Linked DNA regions of Macaca fascicularis. The protein of the gene in region 3 interacts with the protein of the main gene of each other region in a pairwise test. Links are inferred from orthologs where the notes say so. Each region holds a gene or a part of one and is shown on either strand. Other genes may lie near its edges.

Region 1 (5,923 bases), on a different chromosome or scaffold from region 3:
TCCCACGTAGCCTGGACCATAGGCAAGCACCACCATGCCCGGCTAAATTTTTTATTTTTATTTTTTATAGAGACTGGGGGGTGGTCTTGAACTCCTAGTCTCAAGCAATCTTCCTGCCTTGGCCTCCCAAAGTGCTGGGATTACAGGCATAAGCCACCATGCCCAGCTAAAGCCCTTGCTCTTTTTTTTTTTTTTTATCTTTTTTACAGAGACAGGGTCTTACTATGTTACCCAGGCTGGTCTTGAACTCCTGGACTCAAGCTATCCTCCCTCCTCAGCCTCCCAAAGTGCTGGGATTACAGGCGTGAGCCACCACGCCTAACTAAGCTCTCATTCTTAATCACTGTAGTGTTTATTAGGTATATTGTGGTCTTAGGATATTATATGATCTCTCTGTTTAATTTCTTCATTTGTAAGGGTATAAAAATATTTACATTGAGGGTTTTAAAAATGAGATTAAGTGAAATAATGTACTTAGTTTTTCAACAAATGTTTGTTGACCTCCTACTGTGCTGGGGTGAATACCAGGCATTGTTCCAGGTCCGGACAAAGCAAGACAGCACAGTCCGTACTCCAACAGAACTTAGAATCAGAGGTGGGGAGGCCAGACGATAAAGGGCATACCAGGCAATTTCAGGACATCTAAGCACTGGTGAGGAGACAACACCTTAAGCACAGTGGTCTGGGAAGGCTTACTGGAGGAGGTGACCCCTGGCCTGAAGCCCTTCCCACGAAAGGGAGTAAACCATGCAAAGACGGGGGAGGAGTGGTCCAGCCTGCCCAGAGTGAGTGCTAAACCTCTTTTTCACCAACAAAGCAAGGGAGATTGGGGTACTTCCTTGCATGGCGTTTGTTTTTAGAAGAGAGCACACTCTGTCAGCTAGACTAGATCTTAATGTGACAAAAGACAGGCCAGGCCAGCCAGTTTTTCACAGTCTATTCCAGCTTGTACATTTATAACTCTTCTTCACAGGGTACTGCAAACATGGGTTTCTGAGAACCAATCTTTATAAAAGTGTCTTGAATTCCTTGGTAATTATTTCCTTTTAAGCATATAACTTTTATTATTAATAAACTGCTTTTAAATTAATGGTAGTTGTTGTCCAAAGGAAGTCTGATCTGTGTTACTGAAACCTCAATGATCTTATGTTTCTAATTAAGGAATTGGAAGAAGACATGCATCAGAAAATTGCAAGGGAGATGAACCTCTCTGAAACTGCTTTTATCCGAAAACTGCACCCGACAGACAACTTTGCACAAAGTAAATATGCTTTTTTTTTTTTTTTTTTTTTAAAGAACTGCTCTGTCGCCCAGGCTGGAGGGCAGTGGCATGATCTTGGCTCACTGCAACCTCCACTTCCTGGATTCAAGGAATTGTGCCTCAGCCTCCCAAAGTGCTGGGATTATAGGCGTGAGCCACCGCTTTACAATCATTCTTGAATGACACCAGAAATTATTTTTAGGTGGGGGGATGATCTTTAAGGAAAATGCCCCCTTATTATTTGCATGCAGACAGTAGATAGAGCGGGAGATTCTGATTTGGTTTTCAGTTCATCTGGGGGAGAGGGTGTTGGTGAACCTGAATGTTTCCATTCCAGATCTAGCACTGGGGAGCCCTACGATGCTTGCCTAGCCATCATTCCTCCTTTTACAACATGTTTTGGCTATTCATCATTCTAGAGAAATATTTAGGAAAGAAGAAGATGAGAAATCTGTGACCTGCTTACATGGGAATGATCTCATCTCTCTTTGGCTTTTCCTACCCTCAGGTTCCTGCTTTGGACTAAGATGGTTTACACCGGCAAGTGAGGTTCCGCTCTGTGGCCACGCCACCCTGGCTTCTGCAGCTGTGCTGTTTTACAAAATAAGTAATGTGATTTTCTTTAATGAATCTAACACTTAGCAAATGGCTTTTTTTTTTTTTAAGTTCTCACACAGACTTATTCTGATGGTCCAAAGTGACTGGTATAAAGACTTTGCAGAGTTTACTTCATGCTATTCGTAATGCAGAAACAAAACTAGCGACCTTCAATAGCACTTTTACCTTTCTGAGTATGTGCCCACCATCACTGGAAAGCTGCAGTCAGAATGCTATTTTTTAAACCGGAGATCTCTGGTCTTTGTGAAGCTTGCATGGGCAGAATTGTCATCTCATACGATATGAGATTGGGGACCAACAGGAACATTTCACTCCAATTATTTCCCCTCCCACATTGAAATTCATTTCACAGTAAGAGATTCTTCAATAAACTTTCTTTTTTTTTTTTGAGATGGGGCCTGGCTCGGTTGCCCACGCTGGAGTGCAGCGTTGGGATGTCAGTTCACTGCAACCTCTGACTCCTGGGCTCAAGCCATCCTCCCACTTCAACCTCCAAAGTAACTGGGACCACAGGTGCACACCACCACACCTGGCTAATTTTTGTATTTTTGGTAGAGACGGGGTTTTGCTGTGTTGCCCAGGCTGACCTCAAATTCCTGAGCTCAATTGATCCACCCACCTTGGCCTCCCAAAGTGCTGGGATTACAGGCATGAGCCACCACGCCCAGCCAATAAGAGCTTCTTTGCTCTGAATTTTAAAGATTCCTGGGCCCCCACTGTATATATACATTCACCTTAAGAGGAGTTGCAGCACCTTAATTCTGCCAGTTTCTATCTTAGCTGCATTTAGTTTAATGGACAAAGATCAGGGCCTTGTGGGGATGGGACAGAGGAGAGATTCCTGGGAAATGCCCTAAAACAGGAGGTGGAAGCAGCCAGAAACAAGCATAGACAGCAAACGGAAATGGAAACAAGGAAAGAAACAGGATAATACGACAGAAGGTCACTGTGGGGGTTGGGCAAAACCCCGTCTCTACTAAAAATACAAAAATTAGCCAAGTGTGGTGGCGCATGCCTGTAGTCCCAGCTACTCAGGAGGCTGAGGCAGGAGAATCGCTTGAATCTGGAAGGCGGCGGTTGCAGTGAGCTGAGATTGTGCCATTGCACTCCAGCCTGGGCGACAGGGCAAGACTCCGCCTCAAGGAAAAGAAAAAAAAGAAAGCAGGATTGAATAGAGGGAGAAATTGAACTGCAGAGTAGTAGCAACAAAGAAAGGCCTAGGCCAAATCCATGGGGAGCTCTAAAGCTGGACATTTTTTCAAGTAGTATAGTTCCAAGTAGAGGCAGAGATTCAGGCCTTTTTATCCTCCATGGACCAGTCCCCAAAACCTGGAAAAGATGTATGACTTTGGGCAAGGTAGCTCTACTCAGCCAAAGGTAACTCCAAGAGAGTGACTCAGTTGAGAGCTGTAGGCCGCCAGCACTCTGGGCAAGCAGGGTCAGGGCCGGGTGTAGGCAGAGCCAGCAAGGCCCCAGGTTGCAGCTGAGAGCAGGTGCCTCCTTACATTTTGTACCCTATGGTACTTCCTTGCCTCATGGAGTCCCAGTCCTGAGGCCATGGGTCAGACATAGAATCTGGATCAGCACCCACTAGAGAAGGGGAACTTTGGGCTAAAGGATAAGATGAAGCATCTGTGGGATGAGCTAGAGTGAGAGGAGGAGCATCCCAGGCAGAGGCTAGCAAGTACAAAGCCCCTGGGACCTGTCTATATGATTGGCAGGGATAAAGTTGAGAGGCCATATAATATAATTCAATATACATTTCAAAAAGATGATTTTGGTATCTGTGGATAGGGGACACATGCAAAGGCAAGCAGACATTCTGAAATGTTTAGGAATTGAGTCTTGAAAAATAAGATTTACTGAAATTAAATTGAGTGTCTTTTGTTTTTTTGTTTTTGTCTTTTTTGAGATGGAGTTTTGCTCTTGTAACCCAGGCTGGAGTGCAATGGCAAGATCTTGACTCACTGCAACCTCTGCCTCCTGTGTTTAAGCGATTCTCCTGCCTCAGCCTCCCAAGTAGCTGGGATTACAGGCGCCTACCACCACGCCTGGCTAATTTTTGTATTTTTAATAGAGATGGGGTTTCACCATGTTGGCCAGGCTGGTCTCAAACTCCTGACTTCAGGTGAACCACCTGCCTCGACCTCCCAAAGCAAGATTGAGTGTCTTTTGAAAACTGGACTCCACATGGGTTGGTTTGATGCTGAGGTTTGGAATAATAACACCCTGGAACCCCCCATAGGGCAGTCTTAAGGTTAGATAAGATATGAAAAAATGCTTTGTAAATAGTAATGTCTTATATCGATCATAATGAGAAAAATTAAGCTTTGTGTTTCCAAATGTCAATTTTATGCTCAATGAAAGTTAATAAGTCAAAGTTCTTCACCTTTGACATGTGATTTAAGTTTTACAGAAATATTAAGAGAGAGAAAAGAATTAGGTCACCATTCTTTGTTTTCACTAAAAATGTTACACACACTGATAAGTAGCCCAAGCTGCATCAGTAACAGGGGATGGCAGTATTTGTGGTGCATTCTTTAAATCACATTGCTGTGTAAAAAGTTTGGTTTATTTAGGATAAACCACATTTATTTCATATAAGACTGATATTTACAACTTAAATGTTTTGTTATTCCCTTGGCATATCTTAGACTAGAACAGGTTATGACTCTATGGTTGTTGCTGCAGGATATTTTAAAATCTGTATTAGAAACATTTTAGACTAGGTGCAGTGGTTCATGCCTGTAATCCCAACACTTTGGGAGCCAAGGCAGGAGGATCTCTTCAGTCTAGAACTTAGAGACCAGCCTGGGCAACATAGTGAGACCCTGTCTTTACAAAATATTTAACAATTATCCAGGCATTATGGCTCATGCCTGTAGTCCCAGCTACTCGGGAAGCTGAGGATTGCTTGAGCTCAGGAGGTTAAGGCTGCAGTGAGCCAGTCCCCAGCCTGGGCAACAGAGTGAGACAGTTCCTCAAAGAAAGAGAAAACATTATAAAAGGTAGGTTTAATGTATTAACCTCATTTTATAGATGAGGAAACCGAGATTTAAGGAGGCTGGCCAGGTGTGATGGCTCATGCCTATAATCTAAGCACTTTGGGAGGCTGAGGCAGGTGGATCACTTGTGGTCAGGAGTTTGAGACCAGCCTGACCAACATGATAAAACCTCGTCTCTACTAAAAATACAAAAATTAGCTGGGTGTGATGGTGCACACCTGTAATTCCAGCTTCTTGGGAAGCTGAGGTGGGAGAATCACTTGAACATGGGAGGCAGAGGGTACAGTGAGCTGAGATCGCGCCACTGTACTCCAGCCTGGGCAACACAGTGAGACCCTGTCTCAAGAAAATAAAAAAAGGGCCGGGCGCAGTGGCTCAAGCCTGTAATCCCAGCACTTTGGGAGGCCGAGACGGGCGGATCACGAGGTCAGGAGATCGAGACCATCCTGGCTAACACGGTGAAACCCCGTCTCTACTAAAAACTACAAAAACTAGCCGGGCGAGGTGGCGGGCGCTTGTAGTCCCAACTACTCGGGAGGCTGAGGCAGGAGAATGGCGTAAACCCGGGAGGCGGAGCTTGCAGTGAGCTGAGATCCGGCCACTGCACTCCAGCCTGGGCGACAGAGCGAGACTCCGTCTCAAAAAAAAAAAAAAGAAAATTAAAAAAGGAGGCTAAGTTAGTAAGGGCACAGTAAGCAGTAAAGAGCTGGGATCTGAAGACTTGAAGTATGACGCCATATCCAATCAGTTTTGTTCTTGGTTCTCAAGTTAGAATCTAGTGAGAGTTTTCTCCATTCTAGACCCCAGCAACCCAAACCTCGCTCCATCATAGAAAAGGATGGCATTGCCAGAAAATCTAAGATAATGCAAAGGTGTTTGAAATGGACATGTACATATATGACAAAGTTAATTTCCTATTTCTTGATTCCTATTTTGGCCAGAAAACATGAATAGCACACTCACGTTTGTCACTCTGAGTGGAGAACTAAGGGCCAGACAAGCAGAGGATGGCATTGTCCTGGACTTGCCTCTTTATCCA
Region 2 (5,923 bases), on a different chromosome or scaffold from region 3:
TGGCTTCCAGCTTCATCCATGTCCCTGCAAAGAACATGATCTCATTCCTCTTTATGGCTGTATAGTACAGTCTAACATTGATGGGCATTTGGGTTGGTTCTGTGTCTCTGCTATTGTGAGTAGGGCTGCAGTGAACATTCACATGCATGTGTCTTTATAATAGAATGATTTATATTCCTTTGGGTATATACTCAGGAATGGGATTGCTGCTCAAATGGTATTTCTGGTTCTAAATCTTTGAGGAATTGCCACACTGTCTTCCACAATGGTTGAACTAATTTACATTCCCACCAACAGTGTTAAAGCATTCCTATTTCTCCACAGCCTCCACCAGCATCTATTGTTTCTTGACATTTTAATAGTCACCATTCTGACTGGCGTGAGATGGAATTACCAGTATGTTTTAAGAGTTCCCAGAATGCTTACCCATTTGAAAAATTATTGTTTTTAAAAAACTCATGCTAACTCTGTGGGCAAAAAATTTCTCAGCAGTTTAATTTGCATTTCCTTGTTTAATACAGAAGTCTTTTGTGACTATATTTTTATACTTTTGCTAAGGATTATTTCGTGCAGTGGTTAAGTGGTGCTGTTCTAAAGCCTGAGTGTTCACTTACTGGTGACCTTGAGTAAATTCCTTGATCTCCCTATGGTCACACCAACTCTGATAATGGCAGTACCTACTCATAGAATCCGTGTAAAGACTAAAGAGGGTATCACATGAAAGATGCCTAGAAAATATCAGGCATATATAACATACGTTTATGTTCTCTGTCATTTATATCTTCTCTGAATTGCCCTTTCACTGTCTTGGGGTAAGTAGATTTTTTGGTAGCTTAGAAATATATATATTAAGTATCTTAACCCATTGTCTGTCATATATTATAATTTCTTCCCAGTTGGTGGTTTGTCTTTCAATTTTGTTCAAAGTGAGGAAACAGTTGAATATCAAGAAATTCAGACCGGCCGGGGGCGGTGGCTCAAGCCTGTAATCCCAGCACTTTGGGAGGCCGAGACGGGCAGATCATGAGGTCAGGAGATCGAGACCATCCTGGCTAACACAATGAAACCCCGTCTCCACTAAAAATACAAAAAAATTAGCCGGGCGTGGTGGCGGCGCCTGTAGTCCCAGCTACTCGGGAGGCTGAGGCAGGAGAATGGCGGGAACCCGGGAAGCGGAGCTTGCAGTGAGCCGAGATCGCGCCACTGCACTCCAGCCTGGGCGACAGAGCGAGACTCCGCCTCAAAAAAAAAAAAAAAAAAAAAAGAAAAAAAAAAAGAAATTCAGACCAAGTGAAGGCATAGTTTTGGTCCTGGATCTTTATTCTGCCTGTCAACCATACTGCTAGGAGAATCATCTTCCCCATCATTGAGAACGTCTGGTATTGATTATAGCCACCAGATATCAGAAATGGTGGCACTTTAAGCAGCTTATATTGTTATATTAAAAATCACCATCATAGATAAAACTTCTGCTTAATTTATGTAAATGATGATCACGGTAGATGAAAGGCCATGGTTAATATTTCACCATTTTCCATTTATCACCAAATCCAACTTGTCAGCATTACATTAGTGGTGATATAAAATGAATTACTTCAACTTGAAAGAAGCTTTTAATTTGAGACCAAGAACCCTGATAGACTGTGTAACCATTAAGTGTTATTACTTTTCCCCTCTTTGCTGCAAATTGTGTAGTAGAAAAGGAATCTTTCTCATCATGAAGTCTCATGTATAAACTCAAGATGTTCCCTATATTAGCATATATACATGCTACTAAAAATGGAAGTTTTTTACTTCACTGAAAAACAATATGGACATAGAGACTATTACTTTGCCTTATTAAGCAGAGGAATTACCAGAACCATCCTTGTAAAAACATGAACATTCTGCCTGAGCTGCCAATTTGTTTCAAAAAGGTATTAAAAGTGGGCAAACATTGCTGCTACATGATGAATGAATGGGAATGCGTTATATTATTGCTACTAGGCCACATATGATTGGAATTTTCCATATGAAAGCATTTTAAAAAGCAGTGTTATTTACAATGATTATCATTAGGGAATGATATTGAAAAGAGGAGTCAGGAAACCTCAACTTCTAAATTTTACACTTAGATTTCTGTATTTTGTTGTTATCATTTTACCTTAAGCATGTTTTACTTTTACAACATCTTTAAGAGAAAAAAAATTAAATCATGATTTGCATGGTAACTATTTTAAGAGTTGTTAGTATGTACAGGAGGGGATGCTTACCAGTGCTGAAATAGACACAAAATAGGCAACATTTAGATGTTGGCCCCAAGGCCTTGTAGATTGTCCTCAATTAAAAATGCTTAAGTTTGCAAGTCTTTTTTCTTTTTTCCTTTTTTTTTTTTCCTGTGTCTGTTTTAATTTGCGATGATTGAAAAACATAAAGCAAGAAAAAGAGATGGTTTCCCAATGCAATCTAAAATTTTAAATTGTTGATTGAGTTCTAGACGGCTATGATACTGAACTGCAGGTGCATATGGGCCTTAAAATGCAACTGTTTCATGTTGTCCAGTCATCTTATTTATTTCCTTGTAAGCAAAATGTCAGAACATTTAGCTCCTTTAGTGCACTTATTTCCCACACCTAGGAATAAAAAATTGGGACTGCTGAGTAAAATGTTAAGTTTCAATCCCTTGAAGGCAAATACTTCACTCTCAATAGAGAAATTTAACTGAATTACCTCTACTTGCAGGCAAAATGAAAGACCGGCTAGCAGAACTTCTGGACTTGTCCAAGCAATATGACCAGCAGTTCCCAGACGGGGACGATGAATTTGACTCGCCCCACGAGGACATCGTGTTCGAGACGGACCACATCCTGGAGTCCCTGTACCGAGACATCCAGGACATCCAGGATGAAAACCAGTTGCTGGTGGCCGACGTGAAGCGCCTGGGAAAGCAGAACGCCCGCTTCCTCACGTCCATGCGGCGCCTCAGCAGCATCAAGCGCGACACCAACTCCATCGCCAAGGCCATCAAGGCCCGGGGCGAGGTCATCCACTGCAAGCTACGCTCCATGAAGGAGCTGAGCGAGGCCGCCGAAGCCCAGCACGGCCCGCACTCAGCGGTGGCGCGCATCTCGCGGGCGCAGTACAACGCGCTCACCCTCACCTTCCAGCGCGCCATGCACGACTACAACCAGGCCGAGATGAAGCAGCGCGACAACTGCAAGATCCGCATCCAGCGCCAGCTGGAGATCATGGGGAAGGACGTCTCGGGCGACCAGATCGAGGACATGTTCGAGCAGAGCAAGTGGGATATGTTCTCCGAGAACCTGCTGGCTGATGTAAAAGGCGCGCGGGCCGCCCTTAACGAGATCGAGAGCCGCCACCGCGAGCTGCTGCTCCTGGAGAGCCGCATCCGCGACGTGCACGAGCTCTTCTTGCAGATGGCAGTGCTGGTGGAGAAGCAGGCCGACACCCTGAACGTCATCGAGCTCAACGTACAAAAGACGGTCGACTACACCGGCCAGGCCAAGGCGCAGGTGCGGAAGGCCGTGCAGTACAAGAAAAAGAACCCCTGCCGGACCCTCTGCTGCTTCTGCTGTCCCTGCCTCAAGTAGCAGGCCGGCCCGGGCCGCCACCACCCATCCCAGACCATGGAGCACGCTGGGAAGGACGCACCATCTCTGCCCTGCAGGGAGTTGCCCCAACTCTTTACGGAACTCAGTCTTTAGAGAAGAAACGCGAGGTTCAAGAATTGCAAACAAGCCCGTGCTTGGAAAGATGGTTAGTTGATGCCGTCCAATGGTTCTTCAGTAAAGATAGATTCCTACCAAGTTGTGCAATGTCATTATATGTCACCTTGCACTCTTAGCCTCTAGACAGAAGCCAAGTAAGGAACTGACGTTGTATCTAACTGTAGGGTGAATGTCTGAGGCCTGCCTCCTAATAAAGATTCAAGGAAGGAGTCAGTTGTTCATCTGCTAATAGAATGAACTCATGATGGAAACTTCAGTTCATTTGCTTTGTCCTGAAAATTCCCTGGTTCTGTTCCATTCTGAGTGAAATTGGCCTTGGGAAAAACCACGTTCTTCCTTTCCGATTCTTCATCCGGTCTATGCTATGCGATTCCTCCCCAAATATGGATCTTATTTCTGCTCATTTCCCCTACTTATTAAAATCACACCAAACCCTTACTATTTTCTTATCTCTTTCACTTTTTAAATATCTTTCACCAGGTTATATTTTGGGATTATTTTTCCAAATATTTTTAAGCACTGAATCGAACAAGCACTCAAATTGAAGTATTAGTCATGTTTTATGTATTTTTCACTGATAAAAATTATTTAACATTTTTCTTTTTACTTGATTACATATGCACATGTATTTGTAAATGTAAAATACTAATATTCACTAATGTATGTACATAATGATCAATTGGTTTAACTTCTTTTATGTAAGTATGGTATATAAATTTCAAGAACACTTTTTTGGCTGTTGGTGTTGGTTTGCTTGTTTTGAGTTTGTTTCACTCCAGTTTGCCCCTTCATAGTCCAGTTTGGGTCAAAACTTCATGTTAAACAACTCTGCATTGGTTATGGTGGTAGACATATGACGGTAGAAAATGTATACAGAGCTAGAGACAACTAACATTCTTGGAAATACTGCTTTTGTTTTACTGTGGACCATTCCTTTCATGCATTGAAATGGAGAAATTTAAAGTAAAAGAATTCTGTTTTTCAAGCAAGCTTAATAAACATTACATTATACATATATTTTTATACATCTGTCTTGATCATTTAGTTTACTTTCTCAATTATTGTCAAAATTTTTTTTTCCTTTTTTTTTGTTTTTGAGATGGAGTCTCACTCTGTTGCCTCTGGAGTGCAGTGGCGGGACCTCGGCTCACTGCAACCTCTGCCTCCCAGGTTCAAGCGATTCTCCTGACTCAGCCTCTGGAGTAGCTGGGACTACGGGCACATGCCACCATGCCTGACTAATTTTTTGTGTTTTTAGTAGAGACAATGTTTCACCATGTTAGCCAGGATGGTTTTGATCTCCTGACCTCGTGATCCGCCCGCATCGGCCTCCCAAAGTGCTGGGATTACAGGCGTGAGCCACAGTTCCTGACCTTTTTTTTTTTCGCTTTTGAGACAGGGTCTCCCTTTGTCACCCAGGCTGAAGTGCAGTGGCATAATCATGGCTTACTGCAGCCTTAACCTCCCAGGCTCAAGTGATACTCGCACCTCAGCCTGCAAATAGCTGAGACTACAGATATGTGCCACCATGCCTGGCTAATTTTTGTATTTTTCTGTAGACACAGGGTTTGCCATGTTGTTCAGGCTGGTCTCAAACTTGCGAGCTTGAGCAACCCGCCCATGTTGGCCTCCCAAAGTGCTGAGACTACAGGCCTGAGCCACTGCTTCTGGCCAAATTTTTTTCTTCTAGCTACTTGAGGCTGCCACATCTGGATGGAACTGAGTGGAGGGGGAAAAGAATGAAAAACTCAAAAGAGTTCCCATGAGGGTGTCTTGCTTTCTCTCCTGAGTTACAATACTTCAGCAAAATCATCAGGCTTTAGAGATATGGTGTAGTCTGCTAACTTTTTAATGCCCTTACCCACATTTACCATGTTTCCTGGCCTTCCTTTGTGTCAACTCTTAGCTCTTCCTAATCATTATTTAATACACGAGTGAGTTTAGTAGTGATCATATTTCTCAGGTCCTTCAGAAGGTGGAATTTTAAAAGAAGTAGAAGGAAGAGTATATGAATTCTTTGGCGCTCACTCCCTGACTTGCTTATGGCCAGGACAATCTATCCCCTGTATCTAATTTTAATTTCATGGTTAAATTTGAGAATTGTGGAAACCAAGTTTCACAATGCTATTCTCAGATTTCTTCCCATTTCTTTTTCAGCTAACTCCAGGGATATGTATCACCTTTGACTTAATTCC
Region 3 (6,620 bases):
AATAGTACCTATTTCATAGGGCTGTTGAGAGATAAAATTGGGTACAGTGTCTGGCACATAGTAGATGCTCAATAAATGACAGTTATTATTGTTTTTCTTAGTGCCTACTGCTGGAACTATAATAGGAACCTATCTCCCAGTCCTCAGGGACACTTTCCCACTTATATACTTTAGCAGCTCTCTCTAGGGCCCCCAATACACATTCTCCAGTCACTGCATAACTCAAGATTCCTCTGGCCAGCCTATGTGTTCAGGGCTGGCTGCCCCCAAGACGTTTTTGGCCCATAGTTACATGACATTCATGATGACCCTTTCATTTATGATGAAAAGGTCCATGCTAGCTTAGGAATCTCACCATTCCCCTTTCCTTAGCTCCATCTAATTCTAAATAACTAGAATTCTGTAGATAGAATCAGATAAGTAGAATTAGATAGAATACCTAATATCTAATTCTAAAGAAGGATAAGGGATCTTTTGTTTTTTTGTCTTTTTTGAGACAAAGTTTCACTCTTGATGCCCAGGCTGGAGTGCAATGGCACAATCTTGGCTCACCACAGCCTCCGCCTCCCGGGTTCAAGTGATTCTCCTGCCTCAGCCTCCCGAGTAGCTGGGATTACAGGCATGTGCCACCACGCCTGACTAATTTTGTATTTTTAGTAGAGACGCAGCTTCTCCATGTTGGTCAGGCTGGTCTCGAACTCCTGACCACAGGTGATCCACCCGCCTTGGCCTCCCAAAGCGCTGGGATTACAGTTGTGAGCTACTGCGCCCAGCCTCAAGGATTCTTTGGATAGGAAAAGATTATATAAAAAGAAAGTTTCTAGAGCCTTCCGTGGGTAGCTTTGTTTTCCCAGAGGAGCCAGTCACCACCCCCCCCCCCCCACTCCAATAAAACTATAAGGAAACTAACATTTGCACAAGACTTCTTAGGAGTCCTATATATTTTTCTCCCCAACAACTTTTTGTTCCCATTTTACATATCCAGAAACTAAGCCTTGAGCACTCAATTCAGTGTTGGAACTGAGTTTTAAGTCCAGATCTGTGTCTTTAGTGCTCTCTCTTTCCACCACTCCACAGCTACCAGCAGCAAGAAAACACACACACACACACACACACACACACACACACACACACACGGCACCCTAGCTCATTCTGCTCTCAGATTTTGTTCAGGGTCTCCATTGCCCAAGGGAGTAGACTAGAGCTGTCAGTTAAGCCCTCTGGGGAACACCTTCCCCGGGTTCTCCACTAGAGGCCTGAGGCAGTTATTGTGGTTTCCCTTTGTGATGTGTCACTCTATTTCCAGAGATCCCAGGTAATCCCTCCAGAACAATACCCCCACCCCACTCCCTCCACAGAACAGGTGCAGTACCTGCCATTCCAGGACGCAGATTTGGAAATCATCTCCCAGGGGCCAGATGCTTCACTGAAAAGTCTCCTGCACATTTGGAGTTCTGGCTACTAAAAACTCATGTTAGCATAGGAGTCTCAACACTTACCACCTCCTTCCCCAGGGCAGCTTGAGGTCAAGGTCCAGGACAGAAGGGAAAGCAGGCGGAGCTGGCAATGCCTGTCCCAACCAGGACAGGAACAGTCAACTCCTTGAACTGGAGCCAAGGAGAGAGGAGGGAAGGTATGGTCCCTGCAGTTCCCACTAAGCCCAACCCTGATATCCCTCTAGTATCAGTCAGCAAGGAGGGGAGATGACGCCTTTTTATTAAGGTTAACACCAAGGAAAGTATTGCGAAGGAATACAGAAAGGAGGGGGAGGGCACACAAAGTCACCACTTGAGGAGGTGGGAGGGCGGCACATCAATAAAAGAACCTCAGGACAGCCACATGCTCCATGCCCTGATTGGGAGAAGAGGGAGGGAAAAGCGCCATGATAGCTTGGAGCTCATAGAAGGGTCTGAAGCCCCCTGAACCTAACATCAGAGCCACAAGCCCTGACCCTGAGGGCTCACACACTACTACACAAGTAGACACACATAACACACACAAGACATGAAGGCAACACCGAGAGGCAGCGGGCAGGGACATATTGACAGAAAAAGGAACTGAAGTTAAGCAGGTGTAGCCAGGAGAGACAGTTTTTGGCTGCGGCCCCGAGTCCCTCAAATGTCCCCTAAATCTGGGTTGCTGCTGAGCACCCCCGAGTCTCTGCCTGTGAACCGGGCTCTTTGTTCTGTAAGCCCCAGTGAGTGGAAAAGCAATCCCAGATGAAGTCAGTGACAAGGCAGGATCCGCTCTGCATGCAAAATCCTAGAGGTTGAGCTATTATGTCTTCATGCACATTCATAGCCAGCTCCTCCCAGCCCAGGGGCCCTTGGAACCCCATTCACCCAGATTCCTAGGGCTGCAGTTCCCTCCTCAAGCTTCCTTTACCAATCAGCAGCCGCAGAGATCTGTGAGGGGGAGAGGCTTCTGCAGAGCACTGAATATCTTGGATTTCAGCAGAAGGGTAAATTTCCTGTTGCCAGAACAGAATACCCCCAATTCCTTAATTTCTAGGTAAATTGTTAGAGATTATTTGCCATGGTCCTAGATAAGTCCTTTTTCAGAATAGAAAAAGCAGAATTTTATTTACACATTTCAGGGGTTCTCCTGTTGTCTGGGGAGGGGGAAAGGACAGGATAGGGATGGATGGGAGTCCAGAGATGGGCGCTTCCTCTCCCGGAGCCTCACCTTTCCGCAGTTTGCTATAATTCGCTTAGTTGGGCAGAAAGAATTCTTGATGCTCCCAAAGTCCTTCACCCTACAAATCCTTCCTCGAGGGAGTCTCTCTCTGCCTGACCCACAAGAGCAGCTGTCCAAGGGAAGCATGCCGCACCGCGCCGTTCAGTCCCCTCGCGTCATGCACTCGGAAACCCAAAGACAGCCCGAGAAGGTAGTGCCCCACGGAGTCCCCTCACAGGGAGGCCTCGCCCTCCAGTTGCAGCAGGGTAATGTCGGGCATGTCAAGGGGCTCCATAGGTGGCCCGTCCCCCGCAAGGAGACCAGCACAGGGACTCTCGGGACGCTCACAGTGACTGGTGGGTGTGGCGGGGCTGGGCATCTCCTTCTCTTCTTCCTCGTCCTCCTCGTCCTCGGGATCGCGACCCAGTAAGCCGCTGTCCCCAATTCCAGGTGAAGGAGTCTCCGGCTCTTGGGGGTCGCTCGGGAAGCTCCCCTTGCCGCTGACCACGCCCAAGCCGCCCTGGCGGGGCGCAGTGGTCATAATCTGGCACATGGAGACGATGGCTCGCTGGTTGGCGCACACGTCGTCCGAGAGCACCTGGATGTGCGAGGCCTGCTCGTCCAGGGCCCCCCTCATGGCCCTCACGTCCTCAAACAGGGCTTGCAGCTGGGCTTTCAGGTGCTCCATCAGTTCCTTCATGCCGCCGTTGTACTCCCCGGAGATCACGTCCCCCACGGCCGGCACGGTGGACACCTCCAGGGGCGCCGGCATGTCGCCGCCGTCCTTGGTCATGATCTCCAGCAGACCGTCCTCCATTGAGTGGCAGAAGCGGGTGGCGGCGGCTCTGGGTCGCGTCCAGCCCGGCCTCCGGGGTGGGGGAGGGGGTGGAGGGGGAGAGGTCCCGGAGGGGTGGGGAGGAGCGGAGGGAAGCAGAGGCTCCCGAGACTGGCTGGGAGCGGACGTGAGAGACGAGTCCTGGGCAGAGGGCGCGGGCAGGGTCGCGGGCAGGGTCGCGGGAGGCCGAGAAGAGGCGGCGGGACGAGAACCCGGAGAGGGTCCCAGAGCCGGCGTCTCTTGGGCTCGCCCCGGGACGAAAGTGCCCTGCCCTGCCTCACCTCCCGGATTGCGCCCGTGTCAGCGCCGCCCTCTGGGCGCCACAAGCAGAGAGCGCCTGCCGGTTCCGTGGGTCACAGACGCGCTCGCGGAGGGGTCCGGGTCCGGGCTGAGGCCAGCGGCGCGTAGCACTCGGGACTCCCCCAGGCCATTAACTGGCAGCGCCCGCGAGTGTGGCAGCAGCAGCTGGGGCGGGTCTCCCGGCGGCGCCGCGGATGCTCCTCTGTTTCCAAGGCGACGCACGGCACGTAAATGACGTGTGTCTCCATGGTAACCAGGAAGTGGAGAAGAAAAAGGGAGGATGGCTGGAAGCTGCAGTGGGGCTGTGGAGTCTGGACTAGCGAGGTGGGGGGAGGAGAGGGGACGCTGCAGTGGCTTCGGCCGAGGCTAGAAAGAGTGTGTGGTTGCAATGTTTAATAGGGAAGCATGAGAGAGCCGTTTGCTGCATAAACCTCCAAGTCCGGGAGAGATCGTCCCTCCCCTAGCCGGGGTATGAGACCCAGCGCGACTGCCCTGGAAGGATTTTTCCAGCCCGCATTCCTTTCTCAGAGGATGGCGCTAAAGTCGAGTCCTGCCTCTCTGTCCTCCAGCGGTGCGCAGGAAAGCGGAGAGGGTAGAGAAGCTGATGCTAATCATCCCAGAGTTGAGCTGGGGCACGGTGGCGCTCTGGAGCCGGCCCCACCGGGCCTGGCGGCGCAGAGGCAGGAGGAGGAGGGCACTACGGAGGTTTCTGCAGTAAATCAGCCCTCTCGCTATAGAAATCACCGGAGCTGGGAAAGGATGGGACTCCCTCCTTTACGAGACCCTACCGCTCCTACCCAGGTCCCTGGGAGTTTGTCCCGGATGGGGAGGCCAAGTACTTAAGTTTTGGCAATGAAAGCTCCATAAGGGCAGAGATTTTTGTCTCCCCTGCATCCTTCATCACGGAATCCCCAGCTCCTAAAATACTGCCTGGCACCTAGTATGTAGACGCTTAATATAGTTATTGAATGAATAACAAAAACCACCAAGTCCCATGCTCTCATCCGGAACTCTCCAAGCCAAACGTACTGGGTTTTAGGAGACCTGAATTCAGTTTCGTTTCTGCCACGTATTCATTCAGAGACCTTGGCCACATCATTTTCCTCATCTGTTAGGGAATTGAACTGGATAGTCTATAATATTATTTCTAATTCCGAATAACACTCTGCATCATCTCACAGGTGAAAAGGTAAACTGTTGACGGTTGCATGGAGGGGATGGATGGGATGACTGTGTGTTAGAGTAATTCCCGCTCTCTCTTTCAGTGCCCAAGTTCAGACATACATTGAGTATCCACAACCTTTGTGACAACCCCTTTCCCTATTTAAGGGGTGGAGCAGGAAGGGCGGAGGAAGAAAAACATTGTCTTTAATATATGTAGATGATTCCAGATTGAGAAGGAATCAGCACCTGGGCAGAGCACATTAATAATGACCCTAGGAAATTAGGGAAGCCAAGTGATCAGAAACCAAAAATGAAGTTCACAAGAATAAATCTGGGGAAGAACAAACCATATCACTTCAAGATAGAGAAGAACTAGGGAAAGGTGTTTTGTAGACTGGCGGTTCAGTTACAGCAAATGTGTTACCTTTGGGTTTCCCTGATTATGTGGTTGGTGATGAAGAGTGAGACTGGCACAGGGAAACTTTTGTGACACTAGAGGACTGTTTGGCCTATACCAATCTTACTGCTATTAAAATAGAAACAAGTGGGGACTATCCTAAATGACCAGGAGCAGAATGTTTAAATAAACTAAGGCAAAATTGCTCATATATAAAGTATTATGCAGCCATTAGAAATTTGATTTCCCAAAACAAATATATGAACAAATTTTAAAAACACAGTATCGTATTTTCTGAAACTAATGATTCAATCCTATTTGCTTGCTTATTTCTTCCTTCATTCTACAGATTTCCAGCACTCTTATCTTGGTTAGGACTCCTACCTCTACTATGTACCCCATAAGTGGTAATGACACCTTAAGTTACTCCTGAAACTCTGGCTCAGGAGAGGACAGAAATGTTTTTCCTTGGTTTCCATAAGCACAACTGAAGTGGGCTGGTATTTACAAAGAGACTTTATTAACAACTATAGGAAAATTAGAAATAGAGACAGGACACATGAAAACAACTGAGCTTACACAGCATTAGTTTCTGATTATACTACAGCAAGCATGTTCTCAGGGCTTATGGGTTCAACCCTGCTTTCATCCTTCCCATCCTTCCCAGGAGAGCTCAGCTATAGCCAGAAAAGACTGTCATGGCTTTCAGGCTTTCTGTCTGGGTCTGTTACTTTACATCTCTTGACAAGCACTTCACATGGAAAATTTCATCTTGCCAGTTCAGGCATGTCCCTGCCTTCTACCTACAAAGAGTGACTCTGTCCCAGTGGGGGACCTCTCATCTTTGAAATCCCATAAGCTTACATTAAGCATAGCCCCCATACAGGAGGAGCTGTGGCATGTCATCATACAAGGCCTTTTGCCACTATTGTTGAGGATACCATTTATGTCAAGGCTTTCAGCATAAGATTACATCATGCTGTCCAGAGGTGCTGGCTATGAAGTCCACTGAGAGTACAAGGGATCTGAGCCCAGAGGGAGGGGAAATTATTGGAGAAGCACAAAAGACCATGGGAAACATATGCAGAGATCAAGCAGTGTGGCTGGTCCAGTCAAGTTCCAGGTCAAACATTTGAGAGTCAAGGGTAGGTGGGAACTGGGGGAGTGGACCAGTAGCAGAATTTGAAAATATAGGAAGGTGACTGGGTACGGTGGCTCATGCCTGTAATCCCAGCACTGTGGGAGGCT

What was found.
Region 1: the proteins of CCDC184 (region 3) and PBLD interact in binary tests that used the Homo sapiens proteins (3 or more experiments, as listed by UniProt). The two-hybrid records come from large-scale screens. The link is inferred for Macaca fascicularis from reciprocal best matches to the Homo sapiens genes CCDC184 and PBLD.
Region 2: the proteins of CCDC184 (region 3) and STX11 interact in binary tests that used the Homo sapiens proteins (3 or more experiments, as listed by UniProt). The two-hybrid records come from large-scale screens. The link is inferred for Macaca fascicularis from reciprocal best matches to the Homo sapiens genes CCDC184 and STX11.

Annotation. Positions count from the first base shown.
Region 1 is NC_088383.1:78,266,798-78,272,720, forward strand, and holds part of PBLD (phenazine biosynthesis-like domain-containing protein), read left to right. Parts: intron 1-1,161; coding exon 1,162-1,261; intron 1,262-1,769; coding exon 1,770-1,868; intron 1,869-5,825; coding exon 5,826-5,923.
Region 2 is NC_088378.1:48,395,897-48,401,819, forward strand, and holds the end of STX11 (syntaxin-11), read left to right. Parts: intron 1-2,721; 5' UTR 2,722-2,726; coding exon 2,727-3,590; 3' UTR 3,591-4,741; downstream 4,742-5,923. UniProt on the Homo sapiens protein: SNARE that acts to regulate protein transport between late endosomes and the trans-Golgi network.
Region 3 is NC_088385.1:54,942,788-54,949,407, reverse strand, and holds CCDC184 (coiled-coil domain-containing protein 184), read right to left. Parts: upstream 3,993-6,620; 5' UTR 3,494-3,992; coding exon 2,909-3,493; 3' UTR 1,696-2,908; downstream 1-1,695.